Schizosaccharomyces pombe: one gene and its partners. The protein of the gene in region 2 interacts with the protein of the main gene of each other region in a biochemical or structural test. Each region holds a gene or a part of one and is shown on either strand. Other genes may lie near its edges. The genes, in order: rng2, mid1 and plo1.

Region 1 (12,443 bases), on a different chromosome or scaffold from region 2:
CGTTTCTAGATAGAATTGTTTAAAATACGTTTGGGTTAAAGAGCATTTAACGGCAAACTTTTTGACAGCGGAAATTAATGTGCGTCTAGTAAATGAAAACAGAAATTAAAAGGTATTCAGACAAAGAGATCAAACGTTAAGTAATTTTTTTTAAACTTTTTTTTTTTTTTTTTTTTTTTAATTGAGAAGGAAGTAGTTTTTAATAAGCTAAACAGACGTCAATCAACATAAACACATAGAAATATGGATCAAACCAAATGTGCATATGCGCTTAACACTTAGCAAAGATGCGTAATCGGCAGAATTAAATGCTTTGGAAGCTGGTTTGAATTAGCAAGCTGAATCGTTAATCAAAGTATAGGAACATAAACCCAATGGTGACTTCAATAGAACGAATCGATTGAGTATATCAATTCCAAACGCTTTGTTAATAGAGAAAAATAGCACAGCAACAGAATCGTTTTGACTTTTAGCAGTTGAGGAATGTAAAAAATGTAGAAGGGCATATATATATATACATGCGCTACTGCAGCATCCGATTCGTAATAGCGGAACGAACTAAGGTAATACAATGTAAGCTCGTTATTTTTATGCTTCTTTTGTTTTACAGTCTCGATTTTTGTATTAAATTAATTAATTATTTATTTTTGGTTCTGTAAATAAATAAGAAAAAAAGTAACGACTTTTCTGTAGAATATAAGTTTAATTTTGTGACTTATTGCTGCTTATAGTGGGTTTATTGAAATACACAATATTACTCGAAAAAAATCAGACATTTTGAAAGACTAATTCAAACGTTAAATACAAATCACTATGTTTGGTATCCGTAAAAAGCACCTTGCTATCAATTAATAAATTACTACTTGAATTTCGAATGGATGGAGGCAGCAATAATTCAATTCTTATTTTTTAATGCTGTTCAATATTTATTTATTTTTTATGTTTCGTCCAAAAAAATATTGGATTTAAGTGCCGCATATAAAATTTAATTTAAAATACGAGCGAACTACTGCCGACTTAAAATAGATAATTTGTATGCATATTTCAAGTGGAATAAAGCCGATAAAAACGTAAAATTGAAAAATTATTATATGAAGTGGACTTGTTATAAACGGAGTAGTAAAACATAAAAAACCATTACTTCTTAAATTTTTCACTTCTTTAATCTGTACTTATTTTAAACAATTCTATTTGTAATTTCGTAAATGCGATATTTATGGGTTTATTAATTTCTTAAGTATAAGTAATACACGAGTGCAGTCAGCATAGCCAAATAATTAATTTTTAGAAAACAGTTATGAATTTCTATTTGAAACAAAGTACGATTGAGAAGCGAATTGTTCACTTGTCCACCGTTTGTATTTGTATATTATTTGCAAAAGAATAAAACGCAAGATAAATGTTAGCCGAAAATATAACGTTAGCAATGTTATTCCTTTTAATATTCAAGAATTGGTCGATCTTATCATACGAGAAACGTGAACGTATGATACAAAGCTATTCCCAGCTAATAAATAAATTTTTCTATGAATAATAATTTATTTATTAATCGTAGATTCAGAATTTAATTGAAATATTATAATAGCTCAAATAGAAAAATTCCTAAACACACGTACAATAAGATACGTTGCAACGCGTTAACACACTGTCGCTCTAACTAAAGCTATCTGTTTCATTTAACCATAACCAAGATACTTCGATAATTTTCCGCTTAGTCGCCTCACAAATAGGTTAGTGCAATCTTTTTTCAAAACCCTCACACTTTGTAGAAACTCAAGAAAATGTCCTTTGATAGAAAAGATATTGGTATTAAGGGCCTCGTGTTGTACACTCCCAATCAGGTATGTTATAAATGAGTCGCTACTTTATTTCAAAACTTCTCCTCCAAATTATTTGCATGCATTACCTACATCTTTTTTCAATAGTACAAATTTACGCAAGCTTCAGAGGAAAGTAATAGAAATACTTTCTCATTAAATTCCTTCAGAACCTGATATTAATCGTTTTTACCCTATAGTATGTTGAACAAGCTGCCCTCGAAGCGCATGATGGAGTCTCTACTGGAAAGTATACTATTGGCCTCGGCTTGACTAAGATGGCTTTTGTCGACGATCGTGAAGACATTTATTCCTTTGGTCTTACCGCTCTTTCTCAACTTATCAAGAGATACCAAATTGATATAAGCAAGATTGGTCGTTTGGAAGTTGGAACTGAGACTATCATCGATAAATCTAAGTCTGTCAAAAGTGTTTTAATGCAACTTTTTGGGGATAACCACAATGTCGAAGGTATTGATTGTGTTAATGCCTGTTATGGTGGCGTGAACGCTCTTTTTAACACAATCGATTGGATTGAGTCTTCTGCTTGGGATGGCCGTGATGGTATAGTTGTCGCTGGTGATATTGCTCTCTATGCCAAGGGCAATGCTCGTCCTACCGGTGGTGCTGGTTGTGTCGCCCTTTTGGTTGGTCCTAATGCCCCTATTGTTTTTGAACCTGGTCTACGTGGTACTTACATGCAACATGCTTACGATTTTTACAAACCCGATTTGACGAGTGAATACCCTTACGTTGATGGCCATTTTTCTCTTGAATGTTATGTTAAAGCTCTTGATGGAGCATATGCTAATTACAATGTTCGTGATGTTGCTAAGAATGGAAAAAGTCAAGGACTTGGATTGGATCGTTTTGATTATTGCATTTTCCACGCTCCTACTTGCAAACAAGTCCAAAAAGCATATGCGCGTTTATTGTACACCGATAGCGCTGCTGAACCATCTAATCCCGAGTTGGAAGGTGTCCGTGAACTTCTTAGCACCCTGGATGCTAAGAAATCCCTTACCGACAAGGCTTTAGAAAAAGGTCTTATGGCCATAACTAAAGAGCGTTTTAACAAACGAGTTTCCCCTAGTGTCTATGCCCCTACCAACTGTGGTAATATGTACACTGCCAGTATTTTCTCTTGTTTAACTGCATTACTTAGCCGTGTCCCCGCTGATGAACTTAAAGGAAAACGCGTCGGTGCTTACTCTTATGGTTCTGGTTTGGCTGCCTCGTTTTTTTCATTCGTTGTCAAAGGCGACGTCTCTGAAATTGCCAAGAAAACTAACTTGGTTAACGATTTGGATAATCGTCATTGTTTAACCCCTACGCAGTATGAAGAGGCTATTGAGCTACGCCATCAAGCACACTTGAAAAAGAATTTTACTCCCAAAGGAAGCATCGAACGTCTTCGTTCAGGTACTTACTACCTTACTGGTATTGATGACATGTTCCGCCGTAGCTATTCGGTGAAGCCTTAAATCACCGAAAAAAAGATTAGAATGCAAACTAGATACTGTTAAAATCTCTTTTAGTAGACTTTTTTTTGATACATGAATATGTGATTTTGACAACTTTTTTGTTAATTATTTAAAACTCATACGTATTGTAGTCTTAAAATGAATAACCTTCATTTGTAATAGCATAACCTAAATAATTAGAGTAAATTCGTCACTAACGGACAGTATCTTGAATTAAACTACTTACACCTAAAAACCCCCCACTCATCTTGATAACCCACATTTTCTTTGTCTGAGTAACAGCTACTCTCCACTAACATAGCCGAAAAATTGTGTGCAGTTACTTTATCTAGTTTGAGATCGAATGCTGAGTAGGTAGTCATCAGAAGTCTCAATGGACGTAAATGTGGGATTATCTAGACTTCAATCTCAAGCTGGGGCACCTGTTGGCACGAAAGGGTCGAACACTCGTTTAGCAGCCAAACAAAGAGAAACCCTTCAAGCATATGATTATTTGTGTAGGGTTGATGAAGCAAAAAAATGGATAGAAGAATGCCTCGGCACAGATCTAGGACCAACGTCTACATTTGAGCAGTCGCTGCGAAACGGAGTTGTCTTGGCTCTCTTGGTTCAGAAATTTCAACCCGATAAACTAATCAAGATATTCTATTCTAATGAACTCCAGTTTCGCCATTCAGATAACATTAATAAGTTTCTTGACTTTATCCATGGCATTGGGCTTCCCGAAATTTTTCATTTCGAACTGACTGACATTTACGAAGGGAAAAATTTACCCAAAGTTATCTATTGTATTCATGCCCTTTCTTATTTCCTTTCTATGCAGGACTTGGCACCCCCTTTAATCAAGAGTGATGAAAATCTATCTTTTACTGATGAAGACGTTTCAATAATAGTCCGTAGACTCCGACAATCTAATGTAATCCTTCCTAACTTCAAAGCTTTAAGTGCCGATTTTATGCTTCGTGCTAGTCCTGTTTCTTCTCGCACTCCTTCCCCTACACGATTTCCCAAGCATGCTCGTTTCCAAACCCTAAATTCATCAGATTCTGCATCTATATATTCGTCTCCTTATACTTCTCCTACTTTAGAATTTTCGAAGAAAGATGCTAGCGCTCGTTCAGACATCCTTAAGATGCACAGAAGGACGAAATCAGCGACACCTTCGTTAGAACAATTTAATGAACCATATAAACAAACTTTGCCTAGTCATTCAATCGAATTCGAAGACTCTTTTTTTCAACCCCCTTCTCAAAAGGGACATATGCAACGATCTTTCCTCACAACATTTTCAGCACCCACAAGAAGACGGGAGGCACTATTTTCTACCACTTCTGGACTTAGTCAGCGTAGCCCTGTCGATGAGAAAATCGTGAACGCGATTCAAGCTTGTGGTCGTGGCGTACTTGTGCGCTTGCGTTTGGTGGATATGTTACAATCCCTCGTGGAACAAAGTTCTTCTGTCGTACTTCTGCAAGCCGTAATTCGTGGATATATATCTAGAAATACATACAGAATACGAAAGAAAGCATACGATGAACTTGTAAACTGGGTTACTTCTATTCAATCCATCTCTCGTGCATATCTGATACGTGCACAATACCGTAAAGTGGTTTTACAGGAGGAGGCAACGAAGTCAATCCAAACGTTACAAAGCATTATTCGTGGGGGTTTCTATCGTCGTAAATACCACTCGTTAATAGAGAGGCTAGACTTATTTACACCATCATTTGTGTTAATTCAATCCTCAGCTTTAGGATTTCTTACCCGTCATGCAATAGTTAATATGCTTGACAACCTTTACAACTATATCCCTCTCTTTAACCGGATGCAAAGTATACTGCGTGCAAATATGTTTCGGAATGAATGGTCTAACTTTCTAGATTCCGTACAATCGTTTCCCGTTTCTTTTCACTCTATTTGCAAAGGACGCTTGATAAGGGATTCTATAAACAGATTAAATGGATCACTTCTGGGAGAACTGGATAATTTTATTAAACTACAAAATTTATCTCGAGGATTTATGATTCGTCGGGCATTTAAAGAGAAATTGGAGAAATTAAAAGCATCAACATCCTCTTTCATTGCTCTACAGGCAATTGTTCGGGCTTTTCTTTTAAGAAAAAACTTGGAAAGCATTTATGATTCTTTTCAAAAATCGCACCTATCTGTCATTAAAGCCCAATCTCTTTATCGGGGATTCATTACTCGAACCAAAATTGATTATTGTAACGACTATTTGTTAAAGCGATTACCAGATATCGTGTTTATGCAATCTGCAGTCCGTGCAATTCTTTTACGAGATGATGTGAATTATACTGAAGTTCAGTTAGATTCTTTTATTCCTGAAATTGTATTGTTACAATCTTTAATTCGTGGGTATCTATCTCGAAACAAATTTTCAAGAAAACTTCAAAATTTTCATAAGAATATGGAGAATCCCATAGTTGCGAAGTCCATTTTTAGGGGTCGTCAAGAAGGGTTGGCTTATAGAGAACTTGCTACGGCCAAAAATCCACCTGTTATGACGGTCAAAAATTTTGTTCATTTATTAGACGACACCAATTTCGACTTTGAGGAAGAAGTATTGCTTGAAAAAATGAGAAAAGAAATTGTGCAACAAGTACGAGACAATGAAGAAATTGAAGTTCACATCAATGAACTAGACGTGAAGATTGCTTTGTTGGTTAAAAACAAAATCAGTTTGGATGATGTTTTAAAACATCACAACAAGTATAAATTTGGAAAGCAAAGCACTGAATATTTAAAAATTAATACTCTGTCTATGAAGTCACTCAACAATTCAAGCAGAAAATTTTTGGAACTTTATCAGTGTTTTTTCTATGTGTTACAAACCAACGAAATGTACTTAGCAAATTATTTTCAAGCGCTAAAAACTGAGGGCACTTCCTCTGTAAAGATCCGTCATGCTGTTTATTTAGTTTTGCAAATTTTCGGCCATGGCTCTAACCGACGAGAAGAAGTACTACTTTTGAGATTCATTTCCCAAGTCATTAAGCTAGAAGCAGCTTTAGTTAATTCATCTCAGGATCTACTTTCTGATGACTGTGTCTGGAAATTACTGTTCACTGGATATCGTGGGGACGTTCGTGAAGTGAAGCTTTGGAAAACTATTCTCGGCCGCATTCACAAGGTTTTAGTAGCCGACAATCATTTGGATTTTGAAATCAATCCGTTGACTCTATTTAAAAGTTTCAATCCTGAAGTTGCCAGTCAAACTGATAGTCCAAAACTCACTTTGTCGTTAGCAATGCAACACCCACCGACAAGAAATCTATACGTTAGCAGACTTCGTGAACTTCGAAAACTGTGTCAATCATTCCTAGTAGCACTTTCTAAGAATATTGAAAATATTCCTTATGCTTTATGCTATACTGCAGCACAATTGAAAAATAGCTTACAACGATATTTCCCCGCTGCGCATAAAGAAGAAATTTTTGGCGTAATAGGGAAATTTGTTTATTGGGCTTATGTCGCTCCTGTACTTGTGTCACCCGATAACTTCAAGTTGGTTGATGGCTCTATTACAGCTCTTCAACGAAAAAACCTTTACACATTGTCAAGCATTTTGTCTGAGATCTTTTCAATCGAGTCCTGTGACTCTAAGCAACTTGGTTTTTTTAGACCACTCTCCGAGTTTATTGAGGTGTCCAAGCAGGATACCATGTTGATGCTAGAAAGGCTTGTCGATGTGGTTGATCCAGAGGTGTACTTTGAGTTCGATGCTTTTGAAGACCTTGTTAATACCAAGCGGCCAGTAATATACATGAAGCGAGACGATATTTTAGGCATTTATTCATCTATTGCATATGTCATAGATAGTATTGCTCCTCCTGATGTGAACGATCCATTACGCGCTGTTGTCAATAGCTTAGGTCCTGTTTCAGAGCAAGACAATGACTTTGTGCAAGATGAAACTGACGTCAAACTAGAATTGAATCCCAAATTTTGCACTATAGAAAATCCCGTTGCTCAGGAACGGACTCTTATTGTTCAGACAAAGAGATATATATTATTTATTATTCGAATTCAAAATGGCCTTAATCTTTTGGAAATACTTGTCAAACCGGTTACAGATTCAGACGAAGCAGCATGGCAAAATTTATTGGCAGAAGAATCTGAAAAGAATGCAAGGAATTATGATTTGTTTGATGATTCTATCTTTTCAATGTCATTTGCAGAACTGAAATACACTGCACTAAGCAATATAGTGGAAATGGAAAAGCTTGGATTTGCAAACCGACGGAATAATTACCAAGATATGGTAAATTCTATCGCTCTAGATATCCGTAATAAGTCGAGAAGAAGGATGCAACGACAGCGTGAACTTGATGCGGGACATCAAAGTTTGCTTAACTTACGAGAAAAAAGAGCTTTCCTTGATTCGCAGCTAAAAAGTTATAACGAATACATTGAACAAGCTATGGAAACATTACAATCAAAGAAGGGTAAGAAGAAGCTTATTCCTTTTTCTAAACAGTATTTTCACATGCGAGATCTCCGAAAATCTGGACGCGTTCCTCGCTTTGGGTCGTTCAAGTACCCAGCTCTTAAACTCTATGACCGAGGAGTTTTGGTATCAATATCTCATATGCCGCAGAAAGAAAAATTGTATATTACTATATCAGCCGATGAAGTTGGCAAATTTATTCTGGAAGCAACAAGCCCGACAGTTAAAGTTTCGAGCCCAAGGTGTGAATTGCATTTGGACGACTTGTTGTCTGCTCAATATAACAAGGTTTTAACTTTGGATGTTTTGGATGGCCGTCTCAAATTAAACACCAATATGTTCTTACATTTGATTTTCTCCAAATTTTATTCATGAGACGTTTCACTTTGTTCATTTTTCCGTCTCTTTAACTACCCAATGATTTAATTCGAATTAACTTAAAACCGTCAAATATCTTTGCACATTAATACTTGTCCATATTCTTTTGGCGAAATATGTATACTATGTGATATTTTCTCCCCTTTAATTCTGATAATTTGCACAGTTTTCCCATTTCATTCACTTAGTGTGGGGGGTTTTTTTATCACTACTTGTGTTTACTTATACTGTACAAATCTTATTTAACTCGGTGTTATTTTTCAAATTTTTTTTTTCAACTAAAGCCGTTGAACCTGAAACACTAAATCAAGGAATAGGAATTTTTGGTTTATGCATACTAGTTGTACTTGGTAATTTATACTTTCTGAATTAGTTAAAGGTTTATAATTACAAATAACACTTTTTTATAACAAAATGTAATTTATGTCAATACATACATCTTTACTAATTCTTATAAGGCGATTCGATTGAGCATGATTATGTTCAAATTAACCTTTGGATATGGGTAGGTGTTTGGTTGACAAACTTCTTAAGCGTGTTGCATTTTAACGAAGAAAATTTGAATTTTCAAATCCCGTATAGCGTGTAAAAAAATATACATTAAACACGTATTATGAGCAGAAGACTACATAGACCTAATATGAAATAAAACGCACAAAAGAATATTACGCACAAATAATGGCGAGGGTCACCACCATACAAAGTAATATTCACTACCACAATTCAGCTGACAAATACCATTACCTAAATGGCGTCGTTACCACCGGGGAATCCTCCTCCACCGCCTCCTCCGCCTGGATTTGAGCCTCCTTCACAGCCTCCACCTCCTCCACCTCCAGGTTATGTGAAGAAAAGAAAAAACAAGACTCCAGCACAGTCTGGAAATCTTGAAAAGCAACTTAACGAAAGAGCACGCAAATGGCGCGCTTCTCAAAAATCAAAGTTTGGTGTCAAAAGGAAGCAGGGTTATGTTCAAACAGAGAAAGCTGATCTTCCGCCTGAGCACCTGCGCAAAATTATGAAAGACAGGGGAGATATGTCTTCTAGGAAGTTTCGTGCTGATAAACGTTCCTATTTGGGCGCTTTGAAGTACTTGCCACATGCTGTGCTAAAATTGCTTGAGAACATGCCAATGCCTTGGGAAGAATACAGGGAGGTCAAGGTTTTATATCATGTAACCGGTGCTATAACTTTTGTAAACGAGAGTCCTCGCGTAATTGAACCGCATTTTATTGCTCAATGGGGAACGATGTGGATGATGATGAGACGCGAGAAGCGTGATCGAAAAAATTTTAAGCGTTTGCGGTTTCCTCCTTTTGACGATGAAGAGCCACCATTTTCTATTGATCAATTGCTTGATTTAGAGCCGTTAGAGGCTATTAGAATGGACTTAGATGAAGAAGATGACGCTCCTGTTATGGATTGGTTTTACGAAAATAAGGCTTTGGAAGATACTCCCCATGTAAATGGTCCAACCTATCGTCGTTGGAAGCTTAATTTACCTCAGATGGCTAATTTACATCGTTTAGGTTACCAACTTTTGAGTGATTTACGCGATGATAATTACTTTTACTTGTTTAATGACAATAGTTTCTTTACGGCTAAAGCTTTGAACGTGGCTATCCCAGGAGGTCCGAAATTTGAACCTTTATACAAAGACGAAGCCCCAGAAATGGAAGATTGGAATGAATTTAATGACATTTATAAACTTATTATCCGACATCCCATTAAAACTGAATACCGGATAGCGTTTCCTTACCTTTATAATTCTAGAGCTCGAAGCGTTGCACTAAGTGAATACCACCAACCGTCTAATGTTTTCGTTCCTCCTGAGGATCCTGATCTTCCGGCTTTTTTTTGGGATCCCATAATAAACCCCATCACTTCCCGCCAACTCACTTTGCATGAACTAGATACCTCTCCCGAAGATTCTGCCATAGAAGAAGATCCTAATTTTGAAATCCCTTTCGATCCTTTCTTTCATTCCGAAGATATAGAATTTGAGCACACAGCCAGTGCTCTGATTTTATTGTGGGCACCCCATCCTTTTAATAAGCGATCTGGTGCGACTAAGCGTGCGCAAGATGTTCCACTGATAAAGCATTGGTATTTAGAGCATTGTCCTCCTAATCAGCCTGTTAAAGTTCGTGTGTCATATCAAAAACTTTTAAAATCCCATGTTATGAATAAGTTGCACATGGCGCATCCCAAATCGCACACCAATCGCAGCTTACTTAGACAGTTAAAAAATACTAAATTTTTTCAAAGTACTTCTATCGATTGGGTTGAAGCTGGTCTCCAAGTTTGTCGCCAAGGGTACAACATGCTGCAATTACTTATTCACAGAAAAGGGTTGACATATTTACATTTGGATTACAACTGTAATTTAAAACCTACAAAGACATTAACTACGAAGGAAAGAAAGAAATCTAGGTTTGGTAATGCATTTCACTTGATGCGCGAAATACTTCGCCTTACTAAATTAATTGTCGATTCTCATGTACAGTATCGTTTGGGAAACATTGACGCATATCAGCTAGCTGATGGATTACATTACATATTTAATCATGTTGGTCAACTTACGGGAATGTATCGTTATAAATATCGATTGATGCGGCAGATTCGTGCTTGCAAAGATTTCAAGCATCTTATTTATTATCGCTTCAACACTGGTCCTGTTGGCAAAGGTCCAGGTTGTGGGTTTTGGGCTCCCAGTTGGCGTGTATGGCTTTTCTTTCTACGCGGAATTGTTCCTTTGCTAGAGCGCTGGCTGGGCAATTTGCTTGCTAGACAATTTGAAGGCCGTCATTCTACAGGAGTGGCAAAACAAATAACCAAGCAGCGTGTCGATTCTCATCAAGATCTAGAATTGAGGGCTGCAGTGATGAATGATATTTTGGATATGATACCTGAAGGAATTCGCCAAGGCAAAAGCAAAACCATTTTGCAGCATCTTAGTGAAGCTTGGCGTTGTTGGAAGGCTAACATACCTTGGAAGGTTCCGGGTCTCCCTGCACCTATTGAGAATATGATTTTGAGATATGTGAAGTCAAAAGCAGATTGGTGGACCTCAGTCGCTCACTTCAATCGTGAACGTATTCGTCGAGGAGCTACTGTTGATAAAACCGTGGCGAAAAAGAATCTTGGCAGATTAACTAGGCTTTGGTTAAAAGCTGAACAAGAAAGGCAACATAATTATCTAAAAGATGGACCTTATGTAACTGCCGATGAGGCAGTTGCTATATATACTACTTTTGTACATTGGTTAGAAAGTAGGCGATTCCAACCTATTCCCTTTCCTCCACTTTCGTACAAACATGATACGAAACTTCTTGTTTTAGCACTTGAACGCTTAAAAGAAGCGTATTCGGTGAAGGGTCGCTTGAATCAATCCCAACGAGAGGAATTAGCATTAGTGGAACAAGCCTACGATAATCCACATGAGATGCTGTCCCAAATTAAAAGGCGTTTATTGACAATGCGTACTTTTAAAGAGGTAGGGATTGAGTTTATGGATATGTATTCTCACTTGATTCCTGTTTATTCTGTAGATCCGATGGAGAAAATTTGTGATGCTTATCTCGATCAATACCTTTGGTTTGAGGCCGATCGTCGACACCTATTTCCTTCCTGGGTAAAGCCTTCTGATTCAGAACCTCCACCTCTTCTTGTTTACAAATGGTGCCAAGGAATTAATAATCTTACAGATGTTTGGGAAACTTCCAACGGCGAATGTAACGTTTTAATGGAAACTAGGCTGTCTAAAGTATTTGAGAAAGTTGACTTAACACTTCTTAATAGACTGATGTCATTACTAATGGACACCAATTTAGCTTCCTACGCTAGTGCTAAAAACAACGTTGTTTTGTCATATAAGGATATGTCGCATACCAACTCGTATGGCCTAGTCCGTGGTTTACAATTTTCAAGTTTCATCTGGCAGTTTTATGGATTAGTGTTGGATTTACTAATACTTGGCCTTCAACGCGCTACAGAAATAGCTGGTCCTGCAGATGCACCGAATGATTTTCTACACTTCAAAGATCAGGCAACTGAGACCAGTCACCCTATTCGACTGTATACACGCTATATTGATAAAGTTTATATAATGTTTCGATTTACTGATGAAGAATCCCGTGATTTGATTCAACGATTTTTGAATGAAAATCCTGATCCCACAAACAGCAATGTTGTAAATTATTCTAAAGGTAAAAAAAATTGTTGGCCTCGAGATGCTCGTATGAGACTCATGAAACACGACGTGAATCTCGGACGTGCTGTCTTTTGGGAGATTCG
Region 2 (10,612 bases):
AACCACGATTAATGAATGGTGCAATTCATCCAGAATGGAATCTTATGATTAACCGTCTTAACATGTCTCAATAGGAAGCAGAGGAACTGGATTATAAGTCATAGGTCAGTTTTATCGTAAAAACGTTTGCAGCTTTGTTCTATAGTTTTTTCCAGTTTTGTATAAAGAATTCTTTACATAAACTTGTGTTGTTTTACAAAAAGTGTCACAAACCGGGATCGAACCGATGACCAACAGATCTTCAGTCTGTCATGCTCCCAACTACACCATTGCGACTTCATATACATTAAAAACTACTAAAATATTTATAAAGAAAATTATTTACCAATGTCTGTAAAAGCCATAATAGCCTTTTTAAATATTTGTTTTATCCTCGACATTTTCGAGCTGCCAACCTTTGCATTCTGATTCTCTAACAGTTTTAAAAGTAATTGAAATCTCATAGGTTTTTCATTGAACTATATAACAATCGCCGTTGTTTGTGTACGTGAGCTTGCAATTAAACATGAGCATTTTAGTCATGGGGTTTGAAGCGACTCATAAGAAGTATGGGATCTCAAAAAGAACTGAAGGCTTTAGAAACAATCATATACGCTTACTACTTACAGGTACTCACTATTTATTTTTTGTTCATTCAAGATAACTGTTGCGCATTTTAAATTCAAGTCTTTGCTTTCTATATACTCCTGACATTGATTTTTATAAACTAATCATCATTTTTAATATATTCTTTAACACACTTCAGACCTGAGTAATCTACAACAGTAATAAGTATCTAAAAAAAAAGCTGCAATTTTTAAAAAATTACAACAGATCCAATAGTACACGATTCAATTCATAGCTCGTATTAGCAATTTATAAAGCCTTTCATTTTTTTCGTAAACCCCTCTACAAATGCTATAAAGCAACTTCGTAAAATAACAAGACGAAAATGATAGAGAAATAAAAAAGTACCACTGGTGTTTGCATAATAAACCCTAACAATATAAATGAGTAAAATGTTTAAAAGAAAAACCGATAGTTCATATAAGTTAAAGCAGATAAGAAACATAACTAGTACTTTTTATAAGTTCATAATCGACTAATCGTCAATAAACATAATTTAAGGTGCCTTTGCGAACTCTTGAATTCGTTCCTTGTGCAACGAAATTGCCCTCGAAACAATGTATTGCTCGATTTCTACCTTTTTTACAATGTCATCGTCGCTCAAATGAAGCCATTCAACCGTTTTTGAGGTTACAAACGCGACAGATCGTTTCCTTGTTGAAAGAAGGTTGGCGATCACCAGCTGGTGGTTATAACGTTGTAAAGCTACTCTTGCTTTATCAATCAGAATACTAGGGTCGGTTTCTAATTTAAAGGAAATAATAGAAGCTTCAGGAGCCCATGTGTCAACCAAGAAACGCAGAAATTTTGGAACCGGATGCATTTTGACTTCTAATTTGTTACTTCCAGAACCACTTTGAATTTTGTGCTCGCTCAATTCCTTCGGTGGAATATGGAAATCACTAACAGCAGCTGCTAAATAAAACAATGCTCTTGAAGCGATTATCTGTAAACGTTCAGCTATAGCTTTCAGGTACCACAAATATTCTGTGAGTGTAGTATAAGGAATCATTATCAGTCGATGATGTTTCGTATATGTATCTAATTCGTTGAGTGCATTGAATACTGTCGATTGAAACTCTTGTTTGACAATCCAAGGCTTCTCCTGACTGCCATTACTTCTTTCAAACAAATTTGTCCAGGGACCTTCATATCGTCGAGTAAATGGCATTAAACTATAATTTCTATACAGAAAAATGACCGAATATCCAGACTTGCAAAAGTATTCAGCAGATGCTGCACCACGATTTCCTGCACTAAAGTTATCGATAAAACGCACCGTATTTTGCTCAAGAGGCACAAGTGTGCCGCCACTAGTAACAAATGCAATGTTTTGGGAGTTTGATTGAAGGTTTATAAAATCTTCAATCAGACTTGAGACATCACCGAGTGAGTTAGGACAAGGATTCTCCTCAAAGAAATCGTTAGATTTATCCATTTCTGGCATATATTCTAAATAGCTAAGAGTATCGCAACCCAGAAATGCCTCTCTTACGATGAGCTCAAAAATAAACAAACGACGTTTAAAAAACTGTATGCGTTATTGCTGAATGATAGGACTAGAGAACTCACAAAATCTGAAATGCTAACCAAACAGTTCTCTAGCAGCTTGTAAATTCAGCAAGTAGTGGTCTGTTTATTGAACAATGTAGACGATAGCGACACCACAAACGACTGAAACGCGACACTTTGTGATTGTATTACACTTAAGGCCTTTTTTTTTTATTCAACTCGTGCTTGTCTTTTATGAAAAGCTAAAATTAAAATAAATTTTAAGTTTGTGTTTTAATCAACTTAAGACTAAAAATTTTCATTTATTTGCGCTCTGTTGGGTAACGTGGTTTAGTTACCAACATTTTACTGATTATCTAAAATGAATAAATCTCCAATTGAAGAGGAATTTGATCTTCGGAAACAGCACCAAAAGCTATTAAAAAAAAATTGCCAGAAAGAAATTGAAGATTTTGTGAAATGCGCTACTGGCAGGACTTTTAGCGTAACCTGGAAATGTAGAAGTGAAAATAAAACGATGAAGGATTGTTTAACCAAAGCGTAAGAAACTTATTCATCAATCATGTATAAAAAAGGATATGTAACTAATATGGAATATGCAGCGCAGACGAAATATCGGAGTGGCAGATCAGGTCGGAATACAATAAAGCTAAACAAGAAAGCTTTATCGGAAAGCAAGACGAAAAGAAGTAGCTAATTAATGCATCGATAATATCGGTATTAACTGCTATTAAAATACTAGTTCCAATACAACATAATGCTACGATTTCAATTAAATTGACAAACATTCTCTACTATAAAATATTTCAAAAGCTCCTCATTACTTTTCAATTTAACGTAATGGTAAAAGCTTTCAAAGTAATTATTTACAAAAAAGATTCATGGTTTTGCATAATAAACATGACCGTTCGTCAATTTATTAATCATTAGAGTAGCAATCATTTATTAATCAAATATTTGTTTGTGCACTTTCTTCAGGTGGGACGAAGTGTACTCCCTTCCCATTGATAAAGTCATCGGTTGATAAACATGACAGGCGATAAACATTGAGGCGAATAAATTTAACAATAGTCTCAAGAATTACTAAGTCGACGTCTGGGCGACCAACGAAAAGGTTACGCCAAACGGATGTAGCCAAAACAGCATCACTTCCCAGCATTCCTTGATCATAACCAAAAATGGCGCCGGTCTGTTGCTGAAACAGATCTTTCAGATACATACCAGAAATTCGATTGCTATTAATGCGGTAATCTTTATGAATTCTGAGTTCCATGTCTTCAAAGAAACGAGTAGTTAATGCCTGTGAAAAGGCAACTTTTTCATTTTTTGGCAAACCACGAATGCGAGTATGGAGGATCCACAAATGTAATTGCGTTATTTGAAACCAAGACTGAAATGTCATAGGAATTTCACACTTCTGGTACCAAAATTCAAAAGCACCTAGCGAGTTTTTTTCGGGGGTAGCTTGTCGAGCAGCCTCAAAATACATGTATCTTGCAGTACCAGTAGCCTCATAATATAAATTTTGTTTAGGAGAGATATATTTTTGATAAATAAGACTTATTTTCTTTAGAAAACTATTTGGCGGAGCCACTTTACGTGGATCTTGAGGAGGTGTAAGGGGTTTGTATCTGAGTTCTTCTACTGGGTCTCTTCTCTTCGTTTCCGAAGGTGAATGATTAATAACATTTATTGGAGAAAATGAAAATCTTCTTCTTAAGGGACCGTATATACTCTTCCCCCATACCGGCTGCTTAACAAATGCTGGTCTCAATGGCAAATTTAAACAGCAGCGACTCATTACTGAATGACGATAAGGATCTTTTGATAATCTTTTCTTAATTAATAAAATTAATTATTACCTGCAAATAAATACGTAGGAGTTGGGTTGAAATAAAAAACGGATCGATTAATGTCGTACAATATAAAGGGGAAGAGAGGTTGTGACAGGTTGATTGCCAAATACAATGTTATAACGAACGATCAATATTACGAGGCCATCATTCTTCCTAATTAAGTATACTCTAAAATTTACTGGACCATTTTAAATTTGTTTGCAGTTTCAGTAGTATATCTTCGCCGTTTAATCGTACCAAAGATTGTATCTATTTATTTTGCTTTCTCAATTAGAAAACCTAAATTAATAACCTCTTAGTTGAAAATGATTATAAATATTACCATGAACTAAACGTAATAAACTTGTAAATTGCTTCAACACTCATTCGTTGACAAAAGTTCTAAATTCTCATGTCTGCCATTAGCGAATCATTTTAGCATCAAAAATTCAATTTATAGATTTTATGGTCAACGGTATCAAGGCGCTCACTTAACCAATTGTTATCATCTAGCAATGCAGCTTTGTCTCCCCCCACAGGTATTTGTTTAATAATTTTGTCGTAAGTAGCTTGCTTTTTACGGCAGTCCTTCAAGAGAAAATCATTCAACAAATCAATATATATCCTCGTCTCATTCAATCGAACATTTACCTTGTCTAAACGTACGACAAGGCGTGCTAACAATATTAAATGACCCTGAACAACTCGAGCTCTCACATCAAACATTGATTTTCCATTATCTGCTAACTCATCTTCGAAAAGAATTATCTCATTGAACCATAAATTTTGTCCTGCGTTAAGTATTTTTTGAACAGGTATTACCTGATCAATTTCAATGAATTTTGCATTTGGACGTTGTATAGTTCCCTGATAATCAGTATAATAAGTCCAATCAAATGGGTAAATCACAGGGTATTCTTCTCCGGGCTTAATTCTGGATTTGGCCCAGTCTTTTGCAAAAGAAACTTGCATTACATCTTCAGGTTTGGTACCAACCATTTTAAGAGCATCTTCAGTAAAAAATCCAACTACAGGCTGATTCTTGTATTCAATTGAGATGTAATTATTCCCAAAGGTCATCTCAGGAGGTGGAAAACCCAATGTACTTTGAAGGTTCTCCATCTCATGGCTTTTTAAAATTGACCCCCGTTGGACTTTGATAGTCCAATATTTAAATGAAAAATCATCTTGTTTTTGCATCTCCTTTAAATAATGTGATTTGAGTAGTTGCTTGACCCCTATATTATTGTAACAATTTAGAGTGCGTACGGCAAAATATAGGTAATGTAAATTTAGCCAACACAAAACACCTTTATATTACTTTACTCATTATAGAGTATATTCAAAAAACCAAAAGTTGATTAATTATTCAGATTAAAAATGAAAAATGATCTATAAGTATTAATTCAGTAGTTATATAATTTCAGTTCAACTCCCTCATTTAGTAAATCCGATAAGTAAAAATTATTCAAAAAATACATTAAGACGATTAGTATTCATAAATTCAGATATTAAGCCATAAAATTCACGTATTCTTGTAACCATAATTTCTCAGTACCCCTATCTAGAGCAAACGAGCGTGAATTCATCACCTGAAGCCATTTTTGGCAAACCTTTTTAGAGTCCGCAAACAACTGAACATGCCTTCTATCAACAGATGTAGCCAATATTCCAGCTACTAGACCGAGGTTTGAAACTGCCTCTGAAAAATTTACCATTGGGATTGAAACTACTGTCTTAGAAAGCTGAAAAGTATCCAAATATTGCCCACCTTTTTCAGCATAAAAATTCAGCTGCTTTGAGCGTAAAACGACAAAACGTCTTCGAATAGATGAATCTTCCAATCTATACAAGTATCCCTCATTATATAGATAGTTACTTCTAACGTGTCGCAAGTCCATCGTAGCTTGTTCTAAGGTAAATGGCAATTCCTGCTCTGGAACCGAAAGCTCAGGAATATACAAACAAGTCAAAGTTAGATTACCAAGTGTACGTTTCCCTATAGAGTTTATTTTTACAGGAATCGCTTCCAAGAAGCCTCTGGAAATGATGGGTATTTCTACGTTGAAAGCCTTTCCAAAACAACTGTCTTTGACATTACCCAAATTTAACGTAGCAGTACCCGAGACTTTCTTGATAACCACTGACTTCTTAGCCTTTGAATTCTCAACTGCAGCAGCCTTGTTGAGTTTTCTCTTTTTGCGTCGGTTGAAAAGCTTGTCAAAAAATTTCCTAGCTTTGGATTTCGTTTCAGCAGGCTTACCGTTTGAAACGTCTTTTGTAGCAGATACTCCTTTCGAACCGTTGGACTTGTCCTCAATAGGGATGTCAAGAAACATAAAACTCACTTTAAAGTTATCGTCAACATGAAAAGCAAAATCATGGTCCAACCTATTATTCCCATTAACAGCTTGCCAAGGAAGCTGCATATTTTGCGTAGGCGTATTAACTATTATCTTGATAGGTGAATGGACTTCACTTATCGAAATATTCAAAATGCTGTTCAAATGTATATAAAAGCGACCAAGTGGCAAGGGCGCCTTTGGTTTCTCTTCAAAAAATGTTTCATTCACAAATCCAAGAGAAGTAACAGGACGTGGTGATTGATTTTCAGTACCATTCGGGACTTCGTAAGACGTACTCTTATCCTGACTTGGAAGATCAAGGCGATTCAAATCAAAGGAATGTGCACGACTTAAAAGTTCGCTATCTCTGGCTACAGGCGTAGACTGCCTAAGTTCATCAATGCTGGCGGATATCTCGGCACTAGGGTCGTAAAAACCTACTGTACCAGTTTCCGAATAATTCCATCCTTCGACGTTATGGGACTCAGAACTGACTAAACTTTGGCTAGACTTGTTTGGCTCATTTTCACAATAATTACTATAAGTACGCTTCGTTCCTGGTACGGGTTGCATTGATGGGTGACGTAAATCTTCAGAGCTTAAAATAGCACTCAAATTGTCAATGGTAGAACTGCTTTTTATACGACCACGTTGACTAGATATACTATATCCCACGGAAGCAGAAGTTAGATTGTATCTGGGGACTTCATGATACGTTACAGATCCATGACCATAGGCGGCCTGAGATTTCGGAATTGAAGTGGCACTAATATCCTCATCCATATTTTCCTGTTGTAAAGAATCATTGATAATAGTAGAAATCTCAGGTTCTGAATTACGGGAAGATTGAAGGTATAACTCATCATAGTCTTTACCGTTGGTGGGAAGGGAAAGCTCAGAGAAATCATAAACTTTCCTAAGTGTACTAGCATAGGAAGATCCACTGGAAATCCGTTTTGCTTCCATCTTGGCCAAAACCTTTTTACGAAGACTTTCTGTAGAGATATCTGAGTCGTCTAAGGTGGCCTCTGGGACTGAAGAAAAAGGCTCTGAAGTATCTTCAACAGGGGCTTCCTGAATGGGAGCTAAAGGTTCTAAAGGTTTATAATCCATATCGAGAGACGCCGTCGTTTCGACCCTTTCCAACGCTGGATTGTCCTCTGTGGTATCTTTGGGAAGACTAGGAAGAATCCTTGGACCTACAGTAGAAGATGCAGATAGATGTGCTGGAGGTACGGGCTTGACATCAGATGGTATGCGAGCCAAGTTGGGAACGCTTCCAGCTCTTGCTCGGGCTGGGTTTGTAGACAGTTCATTATGGGATTGATATGGATGTTGAACAGTGTATTCCAACGGAGACATTGTCTTAGCTCGACTAAATTCTGCTACTTCTACCGCCCTCTTGCGAGACGATTTGGAGCGGTCAAAGGATAATTCAGCTAAATTTTGATCCGGATTAAATGTTTCATAATCTGCAACAATATCAGCACCTTTCAAAGACGCAGTAGAAGAACTTGTCGAGTTCATAGTTCCTGCCGAGTACGTCAAACTAGGAATGCGACCTTCTTCCTCGGAATTAATCCTCTTAAACACTGATGTACTACTCATTCTTTTACGATTATCAGGACTATGTTGAGAAGAAAAAGATGAATCGAGGTGCCCATAGCCATGCATATACATGCTTCTTAAATCAAGTGACTCTAAAAGATCTGTCGCAACGTTTAGTTCCGAAAGGTTTCCAAGGGACATATCGCCATCTCCATGTGTAAAGTTTTTTGTTTGATCATATCCCGAGGTTTCATTACTGTTACCCTCAAAAAAAAGGGGTGTTTTTTCTCGATTTGGAGAAGAAAGAAAACTGTTTTCTAAGCCTTTAGAGTCAAGAGACACATCTTTTGCTTCTCTATATGAGAACTCTTGCTCTTTCATCGTCAGGATAGCTTAATTAGACTTTACAGACTATAATACCTTATCGAGTGTTAAAATGTGGACACAGTATCATATAAGCACCCTGAAGTACAACAAAAGACGAGCCTTCTTCTTTATAGCAAATATTAATTCAAATTCTATTAAAATTGATGCTAAAAGCACGAAAACCTCTTATAATTTATTGAAATCCTTCTTCACCTCAGTCATGTGGAGTAGGCATAGGTCACACAAAATCGGTAGACGCTATGATAAGTGGTAGTCCCAGTGAGAACACTGATTATATGGTTAAACAATTCAAACTCTGGATATACCATAAATCGAAGATTAAAGCCAAGTTTCCTTTTTAAAATTAACAAAAAAAGGCTAGTTGCATTGCAAATATGAATTATAGCTGGGACATACTTGCAAAGATAATATTGTATTATCAGTATGCTTATGAATAGCGATGAATAAAGTCATTAGTATGTAAAATAAAATAAGTAAAATCATATTTTGTTGTCTGCTATTTTCGCAGAAACTAAAAAAAAATACATAAAATGAATCTGTTGATAAACAGCTTTTAATTTACAAATACACGAGCAGTTAAAACCTAAAACTAACTATCGGGGCGTAACATTTACTTAAAGCTAAAACCCATACTTTTGAGAAGATGCCTTTTTGTTTGATCGTTGCTGCTCAAAATAAGCTTCAAAGTTGTCTTTTTGACTGATAGCCATTTCAACAAGAGAAGACAGTTGATGACGACCAGGTGCAACACTTTTAATAGTAGGGGCGCTTGGCAATGCTTCTTGGGTCGGTTTTGGAAGTTTGTTGATATCAACGTCTATAATTCGTCCCTTCTCTTTTCGGTGGCGTCCAATTTCAATGTAATCTTCATTGATAATGTTTATGTCCTCTGCATTTGAATGTACTGAGTGATTAGCAATAGAAATGAAATCGTTCTCGGGTTGATTCCTCAATTTCGGAGGATTTGCTCTAGCTTTAGGTTTTATCAAAATTGGTTGGTAAGGTTTCTGATCGGAATCTACTAAAGAGGCTTGCTTTGACTCTGATCCTACGATATTAAATAACGAAACGTTACCAGACTTTTCTGAATACGTTGATTTCTTGACAGTTTCGGAGGATCCAGTAGAGGTTAAATCGCTTACAGAGTTATTAGGTAATAAATAGTTTTCATTTAAATCAAGGTCCGATCTTTTAGATGACTTTGGAGCTAATTCAGCTTGATTTTTTGGGGCAGGCAAAAGTTCAAGTAAATCATTAGATTTAAATCGTTCATTAGAGATAACATCAGATTCATTAAAAGTTTTATCATTAAAAGAAGATTTCTGTAAATCAACTTGCCGTTTCAGGCGTTTAGGTGACTTTTTAGTGCTGTCAACCGACAATTTTCTGCGCGCATGCTGAAACAAAGTAGGATCGAAACTTTTAGAAGCTAATGGTGTTTCTTCTTCAATATCGCTTTCGGATTCTGATCGAGGATATGAAACCAGAGACATATTTTATTAACTTTTGATATTAAGTCGTTTAATAATTCTGAGCGAGCGATTTGTACTCGGTAACTATTCTCACTGCGAACAGAATTATTTATGGCAATTAATATACTCGCATCTGCAAGATGATTTACATATTTATTCAAACTTAAATTAATTCTTTAAGTAAGTCTTAAAAAGAAATAATATTTAATTGAATGCTACCGCCCAACGTTGCTAGCTAGCATATGTGGTATTTTATATATTAATCACCCAAAAAGATTCCAAATTACCATTAATTTAATTTACTTTTATAAGCTTCATAAATATGAGAGTTTAAAGCACTGCAATTTTCGTAAACTTAATTTTTAGGATAGGCCAAAACATGGCCAAATCTTGAAGACTGGAAAAAGTACCGACTCGAATACTTTTATCAATCAACTGTTAGTAGTCGTAACCATGGTATCATAAACCGAACATATCTCTTCAAATATATCAATTTATGACAAACCACAATACATATTTAAATAATCATTAACTTGTCCGTATCAACTTTTAAGCCTCATCAAACTGACGATTAGCAAGTTCAACTAAATGGTCCCAATTGACATGCAATGAGCACCAAGTTTCTACTCCAGCAATAATTAGAATTGCAGCTCCAATTCCAATCCATAAACCGTACAGCCCCCAATCTAGCTTGAAGCAAAGGATTATGGCAACAGGCAAACCCAATAAATAATATGCGATGAAATTTACTACCCCACCAATCCTTTGTCTTCCTTGTCCCCGAAGAAGGCCTCCAGCTACACATTGTGTATTATCGGCAATATTAATGAGTGCAACAAGGGGAATGATAGTTGCAACCAATGCGACGACATCTTTATCAGACGTAAAAATGTAAGTCCATGTGTTG
Region 3 (9,713 bases), on a different chromosome or scaffold from region 2:
TAAATACTGAAACAAAGCTATATATATTTATTTCGAAATTTACTAATAACCATGCAATGTTGGTGAAATGTATTGAGAAAAAAAGAAACAAAACGAATTAAGCCAAAAATATTGTTTGAATTTTTCATATCATTCTCGTAAACAAAAATCAAACTTTTAAGATATTTGTTATGGCAGCTATGATTTTGATATTTAGCGGCAAAAACAAATACGCACCACAAAAAAGAGGTAGTCTAGAATAAAAGCAGTCCTAGGATGCAGGCGTTCAAGTTCTAACCTAAAAGCGTAAAGGAAAAACTTAAAAAAGAATGGTAGAAATAAGTTAAATGGATTGAAAAATAAACAGATATGACGGATTGTGAGACATAATTAAACAAAATTCTAAAAGGAAAAGTTGCAAAACAAGAGTTGATTGGAAAATCACAGAAATTATTTTCTTTCATTCTTTGGAATGTTAGATTCCGGTGACTTCGCAGAGACTGCAGGCTTGGAAGTAGCTTTGTTTTCTTCCGTTTGTTTCTTAGCCAAATCTGGATGTTCCGCGACGTGTTCAGCTTCTTCCTCAATAAGCTCCTCTTGCTCGCGTAAAATTTCGAGCCTTTCCTTGTTTGATACTTGTTTTGTTGGCATATCAACAACAGTCTCATGATAAAGCTCGTCAGGGATAGAAGCAAGAGTATCTTGCAGTGCATCCCAGCGTGAATCATAAGTACCCTCGTTATATCCATAAGAGAATGCGTTTGAAAGCATCAAAATAACAGAAGGAATTCCATGTTTGATACGCATATCAAGCCAGACACTTAATTCTTCTTTCAACTTAGCAGGAGAGAGGCCCTGAGTCCGAATACCACGAGAATTACAGGCATTGAAAAGCTCGGGAATTGAAAGTGAGTTGATTCCTTCAATGTAAATAGCACGATCGTCACGACGAATTTGACGCATTCGATGACGGATATTATAACGCAATAGAGGATCAGTTCCGAATGCATTTAGATTCATGTAGCGACACATAGCTACTAATTGTGCACGCGACAAGTTATCAAGAGTTATGTCATCCTTAAAGTATTTGCAAACCTCAATTAATTCTTCTCTAGATGGGGATTGACCACTAGTACGCACCTTTTGAAAAAAATCTCTGAACTCTTTAGATTCACGAGTCTCGTTGGAGAAAGTAAATTTTCCCGATTTTAAGGTGCTTCGTAGCATGTTGGATACTTCATTTCTAGTCTTTCGAAGTTGTGCTTTCTTAGCCTCCTTATCCTTTGCATCTTCAAATGTACTAGGAAGCAAATTGGGAAACAGCTTGACTGCAATGGGCAACAATAATTCGGCAAACGGCACAACAACAAACACTGAGAATGGAACAAGTCTTCCAATATCCTTTAAAGTTCTGGTAAGTTGACGACTTTCACGACGAGTAAGTTCGTAACCGACAGCCATCTTATAAACCAGTTTTGAAGAAATCTTAATCTCGACACCAAGAAGTTTAGTACCATCCCAGAAATGTAATACACCGCCTTTAACCCTTTGCCATATTGACGGTTTTTTAACCACAGTAGTTGGCTTAGTCTCTTCCGCAGCAACCTGTTTCGGGGCTTCCTTAACTTTAGAAGGAGTAGGAGTTTCTGTAGAGTAAAGTCTTGAAGAGCCGATATTATAGAATACTATATCTGATGGACTATATTTATTAAATTTGACAGGAGAGAGTCTTTTATCAATCAAAAAATTTCCTCGCAGACCTGAATAGCTTCTAATAGGTTGGTTCCTGATTGTAATTCCCGTCGCCGGAGCGCCTAACCTCCATTGAAAGCCTACAAAACGTTAGTACAAATTGAAGAGCAATTTGAAAAAGCATTAATATCCTTACCAGTCTGATGTGGGGTTTTAAACAAACGATTCCGAAGCATACTGGGGAATTGGATATGCGTTCTTGGATACTTCATCAATTTGACTCGGCTTGTTTATGAAATAGTAAAGAGATTTAACGCATGCTACGCAAAGCTTCATATTCGTTAAACTAATTAGTGTATTGTCCGTTAGGTAATTTCCTCAATCGCTATTAACATAGCATAGCGTAGGTAGAGAAAGCATTTTATTTACTAATTATGTATTGCTGGAATTAGTTTATAAGTACTTTAAAAGCAAACAGTTCTTTTATCGCATCAGCCTATTTATTATAAAAATGTTCCTGCTATTTGGATTCAACGTGACAGTTGCTAGTAAAAACCAGTACTATTGCTCTTTTGATATACTTAGTGAAGTATAAATTAATGCCTTGTAAACAATAAATAATGCTACTATTAATTAATTTAATTTGGTGTTACAAAGTCTGTGATTCTTAATATGCAGCAGATTGAACTCAACTGTACACATTTTACTGACATAATTAGCAAAACATGTATCTAATCTGTGAAAAGGATTTCAGTTACAGCGAGAGAATAAAAATCAATTAACATAGCTGTGACTAGTCTAACATTTTGGATAACACTTGGAACATTGAGATTTGTGAATCCTTTTGATTAGATAAATAAGTGTCGCCTTAAGACAGAATTTGCAGCGATCAATTTAAAAGCAAAAAATAAAAAATTTTGAAAAGGGATTAAGCTGATATTTGCAGCTATAATTTAAGTTTATAACTTATTCGTCAAGAGCTCCTGCGTTTAAAAGATGTATCTGAGGGAAAGAAATAATAAAAAAAGAATTAGTAAAACATTAACATAAAACTGAATTGAATGGATGAATAGTACAAAAATGAGGATGTGAAATATGGAAAAATAGACAGCATAGTAACTTAACGCCCAAGTATAGATTAACGGTATTATTAACTCACTTCCATTTTCGACGCCCACGATTCCAACGTCTCGCGAATATACTTTAAGCGAGATCTCAAGTCTTCTGAAAATGCGGATGCTTCTTGCAAAGGCAATTCCACTCTCTCTCGCTCTTTATCTAATACAATGATCTTCCGTGCGGTAGAGGAAATAACAACTTTTCGATGATCCAGGAAATTGAACTGAAAAATTCCGTTACTTAATCTAAACATTATAGCTTGACGCGTACGAAGATAATGCTGCATGAAAAGCATGGTATTGGAAGTTGAGTTTTTGGGTTTTTCAAAACTCTCATCCTGCACAGCCTTCGAAAGATTTTGTCCCATATAGCTTTTAAAGTGCTTTAAAAGCTGAAGTTTACTTCTTATAGATTCAGGAACTTTGGAAGCAGGATAAATATATGGCTTAATTTCTGTATCTTTAGGATGTAAAGCATACTCGACAACCTCCTCATCAGCTGAAAAAAGCAAGGATGTATCATCATTAAAGTGTACGCCAACCGATTCATCGGATAGCTGGTATCCTAAACCATATTTGTTGGAATAATCAACCCACTTTGTAATAAAAAGAACGGGCTCAGAGTCAGCATCCTCTGAAGTTAAAGCGTGTGTATGTGCTTCCAATGCCATCCCGATTTTAAGAGCTGTCTTCTTTACGCTGATCCAAATGTCTGATTTCATATTTCCAACCTTAGAAAGTCTTGAAACTGTATTTGCAGATAAAGACCGAATTAATTGAATAGGTTCAACTTGTTCAGTGACAGCGCTCTTAGTTGGAACAAATGATTGTGATTCTTCTCTCAAAACTTTAACTCTTGAGCCTAAACTTCCATCAGTGGATTTACGAGCTGCATGGAGGGCTGTAGAGAGCTTTGATGGTACAGGTTTGGTTTCCGGTCCTATTTTCATAACAGGGTTGACACGGTCCCTTGGACTTAAAACACTTGGTAATATTCGATCATTATCAACTTCATCTGTTCGAAGTGCATAAGGTTTATTCTTTTCTACACCTGCTGAATTTCCAAAGCCTACTCCGGAAGCAGAGGCAACGAAGTCCAGGTTTCTCTGAAAGCTTGATTTTGATTGGGAAGAAGGCCATATAGGCATTGAATGTAAAATTTCATCTGGAAGTGTAGAAGCCATATAGCCAGTGTGAAAGAATTCATGGTCAACAATATCGTCAATACTGGGACGAATGCTTGGATCATGTGTCAGAAGAGAAGAAATTAAATCTTTTGCTTCTGCAGATATGTCGACATTTGAAGGAAAACTATATGAGTTGGCTTTTATCTTCCTATAAATTGTCTTTACCTCTTTATCCTGGAAGGGTGGCTTTCCAATCAAGAGGGCATACATGACTACTCCAGCACTCCAAAGATCAACTTCAAATGAATGTCCTTCTTTTGAATTGAACAAAATTTCAGGTGCGATGTAGTTCGGTGTACCACAGATAGTCATTTTACGTTCTTCGTCATCCATTAAAAGCGCGGCAAGCCCAAAATCACCAATTTTTACATTGTTACTCTCATCAAGCATAATATTTCCAAGCTTTAAATCTCTATGAATGACTCTCTTTTTATGCATATATTTCAAAGCTCCCAAAATTTGCATCATTAAATACCGAACCTCTGGCTCAGTTAATTGTTTTCGCTTACGTAAAAGTTCCATTAAAGATTTATGTTCACAAAGCTCCAAAATTAAGTAAATATTCGTCGAATCTTCAAAACAATCTATAAATCCTACGATGTTTGGATGACTCATGGATTGGTGCACCTTTATTTCTCCAAAGAGCTTCAGCTTTGTTTTATCATTTTGTAGTGACCTTTTAGCAATAACTTTAGCAGCGTAAATATTTCCATAATTATCTTTGACTCGAAAACATCTCGCAAAGCCGCCTTCACCAATGCAATCGTAGCGAGTGTAGAATATATTTTTTTTATTATTATGAAGATTAGTTGGCGGAGTAAAGCAAAGACGAGAGGCTTTGGACTTCTTCTTCGGGGTTATAGCAGTTTTGGGCTCTTTAATTGCAACACTCGCCATTTGGTATTTGTTTCTAACAAAACGCAGGTGGTAACTTTTGAGGGTAAACAAAGTGGTTGCTACGACAACCGCTTGTTTGTAAATAAAAATCTGTGCATTGTAATATTTTATGTAGTAATTACAGAAGTACGGCTTTAGAAAATTTAATACAAAGCTTATGTGCAAAAATTTCAGTAAATTCGTACTATACATAAATCCTTGAAATTATAAAATACCTAGAAAGATAAGTTATGTTAACAAAGTAATATAAAACTATTAAAGTCAAATTGTATTTAAGTAAATATGATCAATAGGTAGGTCGACTGCATTAAAATCATTATGGGATAAATAGTGCATTAATGTCAGCATCAAAATTCACCTCTGCCGTGTTGTCAGAAGTTCCCCTAACCGATTTTAATAACGATTCCCATCGATTTCTCCAACGCTGTTTTCTTTTATTCTGGCAATCAAGGAAGTCGGTATCTCTAAGGCGCAGGTAAGATGCATCTATGTAAGAATCTTCTGTGCGTGGTAAGTAGAGCAATTTAAACGAGTCTAAACATAATTTTGCTTGCAATCCGGAAACCAATTCTGCAGATCTTAATAACTTTGTTTGAAGGCGTGAAACCAATTGCTCAACTGTTCTTTCTTTCTCTATATTTCTGCAAAGAAAGGGACAACGATAATTTTTATAAGATATTTCTTCAGTAAGTTTTTGTATACGATAATTTTGAACATATTTTTTCCAAACTCGTCTCTGTGTATCCAAACTTTGATCCACAATAAGATTCGCTCGCTTCATTATTTTGATTCCAAATGATTTAAATTTGTTTATCCAACAAAATCGAAACAAAATTTCATCAGGATTCAAAAGCTTTTCAATTTCCAAGCGATAAAGAAAGTCATCATAATTCTTCTTAGGCGAAGCAGAACTATTTTGTTCGACTAAACTAGTAACGAATTTGTATTTTCCATCGGAAACGATGTGGTGGACTTGTTTAGCAGCAGACCAAACGAGTTTATCAATAGTATATATTTTATAGGCTTTATTGCCATAATAAAACCGCAGATAGTCCTCGAAGGCACTTTGATCAACTATCCCATATATTAATCGAAGAATCATCACATAAGTATTTTCGTAATGAGTTTTTTCATCAGGGACATCTGAAAGATCATTCCACCTATCGCGCCAAATCTTTTGTTTTTGAGATACTGGGTTTGGTATTATACGCTGTTGGATAATGGACACTTGATCCTCCAAACGCTGAAGCTCATAAAGCCTTTCGTATAATAAGTTAAAAAGTCTAAAAAATACGTACATAGAAGAATATCCAAACTGTTCTTTATCGACGTCGTCATGCATTTCATTCTCCGTATCACCAGCATGATCTTGATGTTCCAAAAGACTATCTGGATGACTTGGATATTTGAGACTGGCTTTAATGGCTGCAGCAGGTTGTGAAAGCTGTTTCTTAGAAACCGGCGTTACGTTTCCAGATTCATCACTTAAAGAGTTTTGAGAGTTAGATTGTGATTTGTTACCGGATTCTTCTTTTTTGCGAGCAGCTGCAGCTGAACGACTTTCGCGTTGACCATTGATTTTAGGTTGTTTTACAAATTCCGTCAACTGGGTTATAGAATTAGATCTTTTCCGACGTACAGGCTTGTTACCAACTATATTCGGGGCATTCACATCGTAATCAGGACCACGAAAAACTTGATCCAGGAATATCGAAAATTTATCCTTTTCAAGACCAAAATGTAAAGGCAATATATTCTTGAAAAAATGCTCAACTTTCTTTAAACCAGAGGGAGAGTTACATACAATGTATGTGCATACCATATAACAAGTATCAAAAAGTACTATTTCGTTGTCATATACAAAAGAAAATTCGAAAGCTGATCTACTTCGCAAAGGAAAATGGAGCTTCGCTTGCGATCGTAGAATGTCGGCTTCTGCTAAGAGAAACTTTGAAGATACATTCTTCTTATCTCTTGCCTTAAAATAAACGCATTGTGAATCTAAGCTCTTATCGTAATTTTTAAACTCAATACTTCGCCATCCAGGTTGAAGACTTCTTTTAACAGACTTCCACTCTTCGTTTTTTTCTTCTAATCTGCTGATTACCAATGGTAATGTGAGGCAAGGCATTCTTTCCAAGGCCTTAAACATTTCCTCTGCATGCTCACTGGTATAAACAAGCTTAATAGTTTTCTTGTATATACTTTTTGATGGTAAACCTAGCCCTTCCTCGAGAGTATATGTTTCTCTTTCCTCTTCCGGCAATTCATTTATACGGTTCTGAATTTTTTTAAGAGACTTGATTGTCCAGGAAGTAGCTTCAATATGCCGATCAAATTCATAACGTTCCTCTTCCAACTTTGTCATTGCCTCTTCATAAGGCGTTTTCCTCTGAACAATGAAACCGCTTTCTTCAGATGCCCAAGTTGGATGACTGACCCAGTCATCATTAAGTATACCCCATGCAAAATCATCTCTACCGCTGCAAGAAATATTGCGTTCTTCGACAGGAAGCAATCGGTAACTCGGGCCACATTCCGGGAAGTCTGAGCAAGCGGAATTGTATACAGATAAAAACTCTTCCGGACTCAAACTAGTAAGGCTTAAAAAGCTTCTCCAAAGTCCCGAATTCGATTTAAGAAACCCAAACCCACGACTCACCAGAATATTTCTATCAATTATCCCTTGAACGTACAAATTCAGGAGTTTTAAAAATTCGTGGTAAGTTTCTACATCGGTAAGTACATTTTTCACATTTTTGAAAAAGTCACTGCTCTCATTTGATAAATGTGAAAATGGTGAGAGGTTGTCCGGCCTTGATTGACTAAGCAAATCAGAAATATTACTCAACGTAAATTGGGAACTCTGAATTCCTCTTAATGGAAACGATCCTAGAGGAGGTTTACTCCCAAAAAAGATGGAGCTTGGTAAAAAGTTGTGAAACTCGTGGGCTAAAGATGGATGCTCCGCTAGCAAAGACGTTACAATAGTCTGAAGCTCAGAAAGCGAACACTCAGAGTTTTTAAACTTACGAAGACTATCCTGTAATTTAAAGAACTGTTCGGGATTGCTCAATAATGCTCGTCGAACTCGTGAAACAAATCCTATAGCTCTATGATAGGTACAAGGTAAGTCGTTGTAAGTAGCTACATAAGTAGACGGTGTAGAAACTGGACCAGATGGGGTGGTAAATTGCAATGTGAAGTTGGCACCGCTATTCGATAAAAGGTATTTATAAGACGAGGGCAAAAAGATGTTCAAATATTCTAAAAGATCTGGGTAATCTCTTAAGATTACAGATATTCTTTCAATAAACCCGGGAAAATCGACACTAATGTTCATGTTAATAAGTGAATAGTAATAAAAAAAGAGCTATCTCAAAGCAACTCAGTAAATAAGCCATATATACATTTCATTGTGTAAAGCCTTCACAACATCCATGAAAGCGCTATAAACATAAGGACGATGACACAGTCTTTGACCCAACTTTTGAACGAATGCCTTTATATCAAGCTCGGGGAGTGCGGTACCATTAGGGGAAAAATCATGGACTAATTGATTCTGCATCTCGGCCACTAACGTTGAGTTGTCTAACAACATTGGTTAAAATGAGTTATGTATTAAATTGATACGTACCATTTTTTAATATCGCTAGTGTTTGTTCCATGTATTTTGATCTTTAACCATCAAATGACTAGGAATACGATCTCGTTTATTTTGGAGGTGATGATTTGGGAAACGGCAAATGCAACTAAGCGCACAAACTCGTCAACGCATTACATGAACTGACGCTGATAGCCAAAGTTCAAATGATTTATCAAGACATGAACACAAATACCACATTGGATGGTGTTTTACACTTACAACGAATACTTTAGAAAAAATACTAACGAGAAGAATCAAACCCAATATAATTGTTAAAAAATATTCCTTTTAAATAATTAAACACTACATCTAAACATTATTTTCTAAGAATAATAGAGATTTAATAAAACCGAAACTATGCATCGTCTTCATCAAGAATAAGAAATCGAAAACTATCTACTTTCAAAGTTAAGTTGTCGACTACTTTACTTAAGTGCATTCGCAAAACAAACAACCAAGATGGTGAAATAAAGTTTTTAAATACGAACAGGAATGGCAGAAGAAATTACGCTTTAAAAATGAAACAAAGTAAACATTCAATATAAAATTTTACCTCAAGAATAAATCAAAAGATGTGACACAATAGATTAACCACGTTAAATTTATAATGTTCGCAAACTAAGACGAGGAACCTTGGTCACATAAAAGCGGATGATTGGCGAATTCTGGTTGAATGGTAACATCATATATACCAAAAGATTGAAGGACATTACGGATATCCGTAGTAAGCTTTGTATAAGACTCTCCCTTATCATCAGGAAGTGTAACGCAGACATGAACAGTGGCAATTAATTTAACGTCCGAAAGCTGCCAGATGTGGAGTTCATGAACAGATTCCACGCCGTCTAGATGATTAATTAGGTTGGAAACATCATCCAGTTTGATGCTTTGAGGAGCAACTTGTAATAAGATGAGAGCAGCGGATTTACAGAGAGGAATTGCGCTAAAAAGAATAATGAAAGTAAGAAGGATACTAATGCATGGGTCAAAGAGGAAACGCCAAGAATAGTCAGTATACTTGATGAATAAAGCAGCACTAATAACACCAATATTACCGAGAGCATCACCCAAGACATGAAGAAAGACACCATGCATATTCAAATTTCGTTTCTTCGTTTGTTTTGGTGCATCTTGTTCAATACTGCCATGGTTGTTGACTGGCTTTGAAGTACCAGCACCATTATGATTACCAGT

Evidence for each region.
Region 1: the proteins of mid1 (region 2) and rng2 form a complex in vitro, tested with the Schizosaccharomyces pombe proteins (one study listed by BioGRID).
Region 3: of the proteins of mid1 (region 2) and plo1, one has a biochemical effect on the other in vitro, tested with the Schizosaccharomyces pombe proteins (one study listed by BioGRID).

The regions. Positions count from the first base shown.
Region 1 is NC_003424.3:2,641,843-2,654,285, forward strand, and holds rng2 (IQ motif containing GTPase activating protein), read left to right. Parts: upstream 1-3,585; 5' UTR 3,586-3,674; coding exon 3,675-8,144; 3' UTR 8,145-8,585; downstream 8,586-12,443. Other genes in the region: hcs1 (3-hydroxy-3-methylglutaryl-CoA synthase), read left to right, coding at 1,782-1,841, 2,018-3,301; U5 snRNP complex subunit Spp42, read left to right, coding at 8,896-12,443. UniProt on the Schizosaccharomyces pombe protein: Component of the contractile F-actin ring; required for its construction following assembly of F-actin at the division site.
Region 2 is NC_003421.2:1,141,989-1,152,600, forward strand, and holds mid1 (anillin-related medial ring protein Mid1), read right to left. Parts: upstream 8,448-10,612; 5' UTR 8,228-8,447; coding exon 5,465-8,227; 3' UTR 5,328-5,464; downstream 1-5,327. Other genes in the region: ppc1 (phosphopantothenate-cysteine ligase), read right to left, coding at 1,103-2,053; cytochrome c oxidase biogenesis protein cmc2, read left to right, coding at 2,480-2,658, 2,721-2,811; ubiquinol cytochrome-c reductase assembly protein Cbp3, read right to left, coding at 3,068-3,919; TIP41 type 2a phosphatase regulator Tip41, read right to left, coding at 4,395-5,153; protein Cwf20, read right to left, coding at 8,854-9,726; SPOM_SPCC4B3.13 (MatE family transporter), read right to left, coding at 10,255-10,612. UniProt on the Schizosaccharomyces pombe protein: Scaffold protein that anchors the contractile ring (CR) at the cell equator during cytokinesis.
Region 3 is NC_003424.3:2,159,400-2,169,112, reverse strand, and holds plo1 (Polo kinase Plo1), read right to left. Parts: upstream 4,883-9,713; 5' UTR 4,874-4,882; coding exon 2,822-4,873; 3' UTR 2,348-2,821; downstream 1-2,347. Other genes in the region: putative potassium ion transporter Mdm28, read right to left, coding at 430-1,811, 1,868-1,907; Clr6 histone deacetylase complex subunit Pst2, read right to left, coding at 5,190-8,205, 8,284-8,464, 8,511-8,541; ER zinc importer, CDF family, Zhf1, read right to left, coding at 9,138-9,713.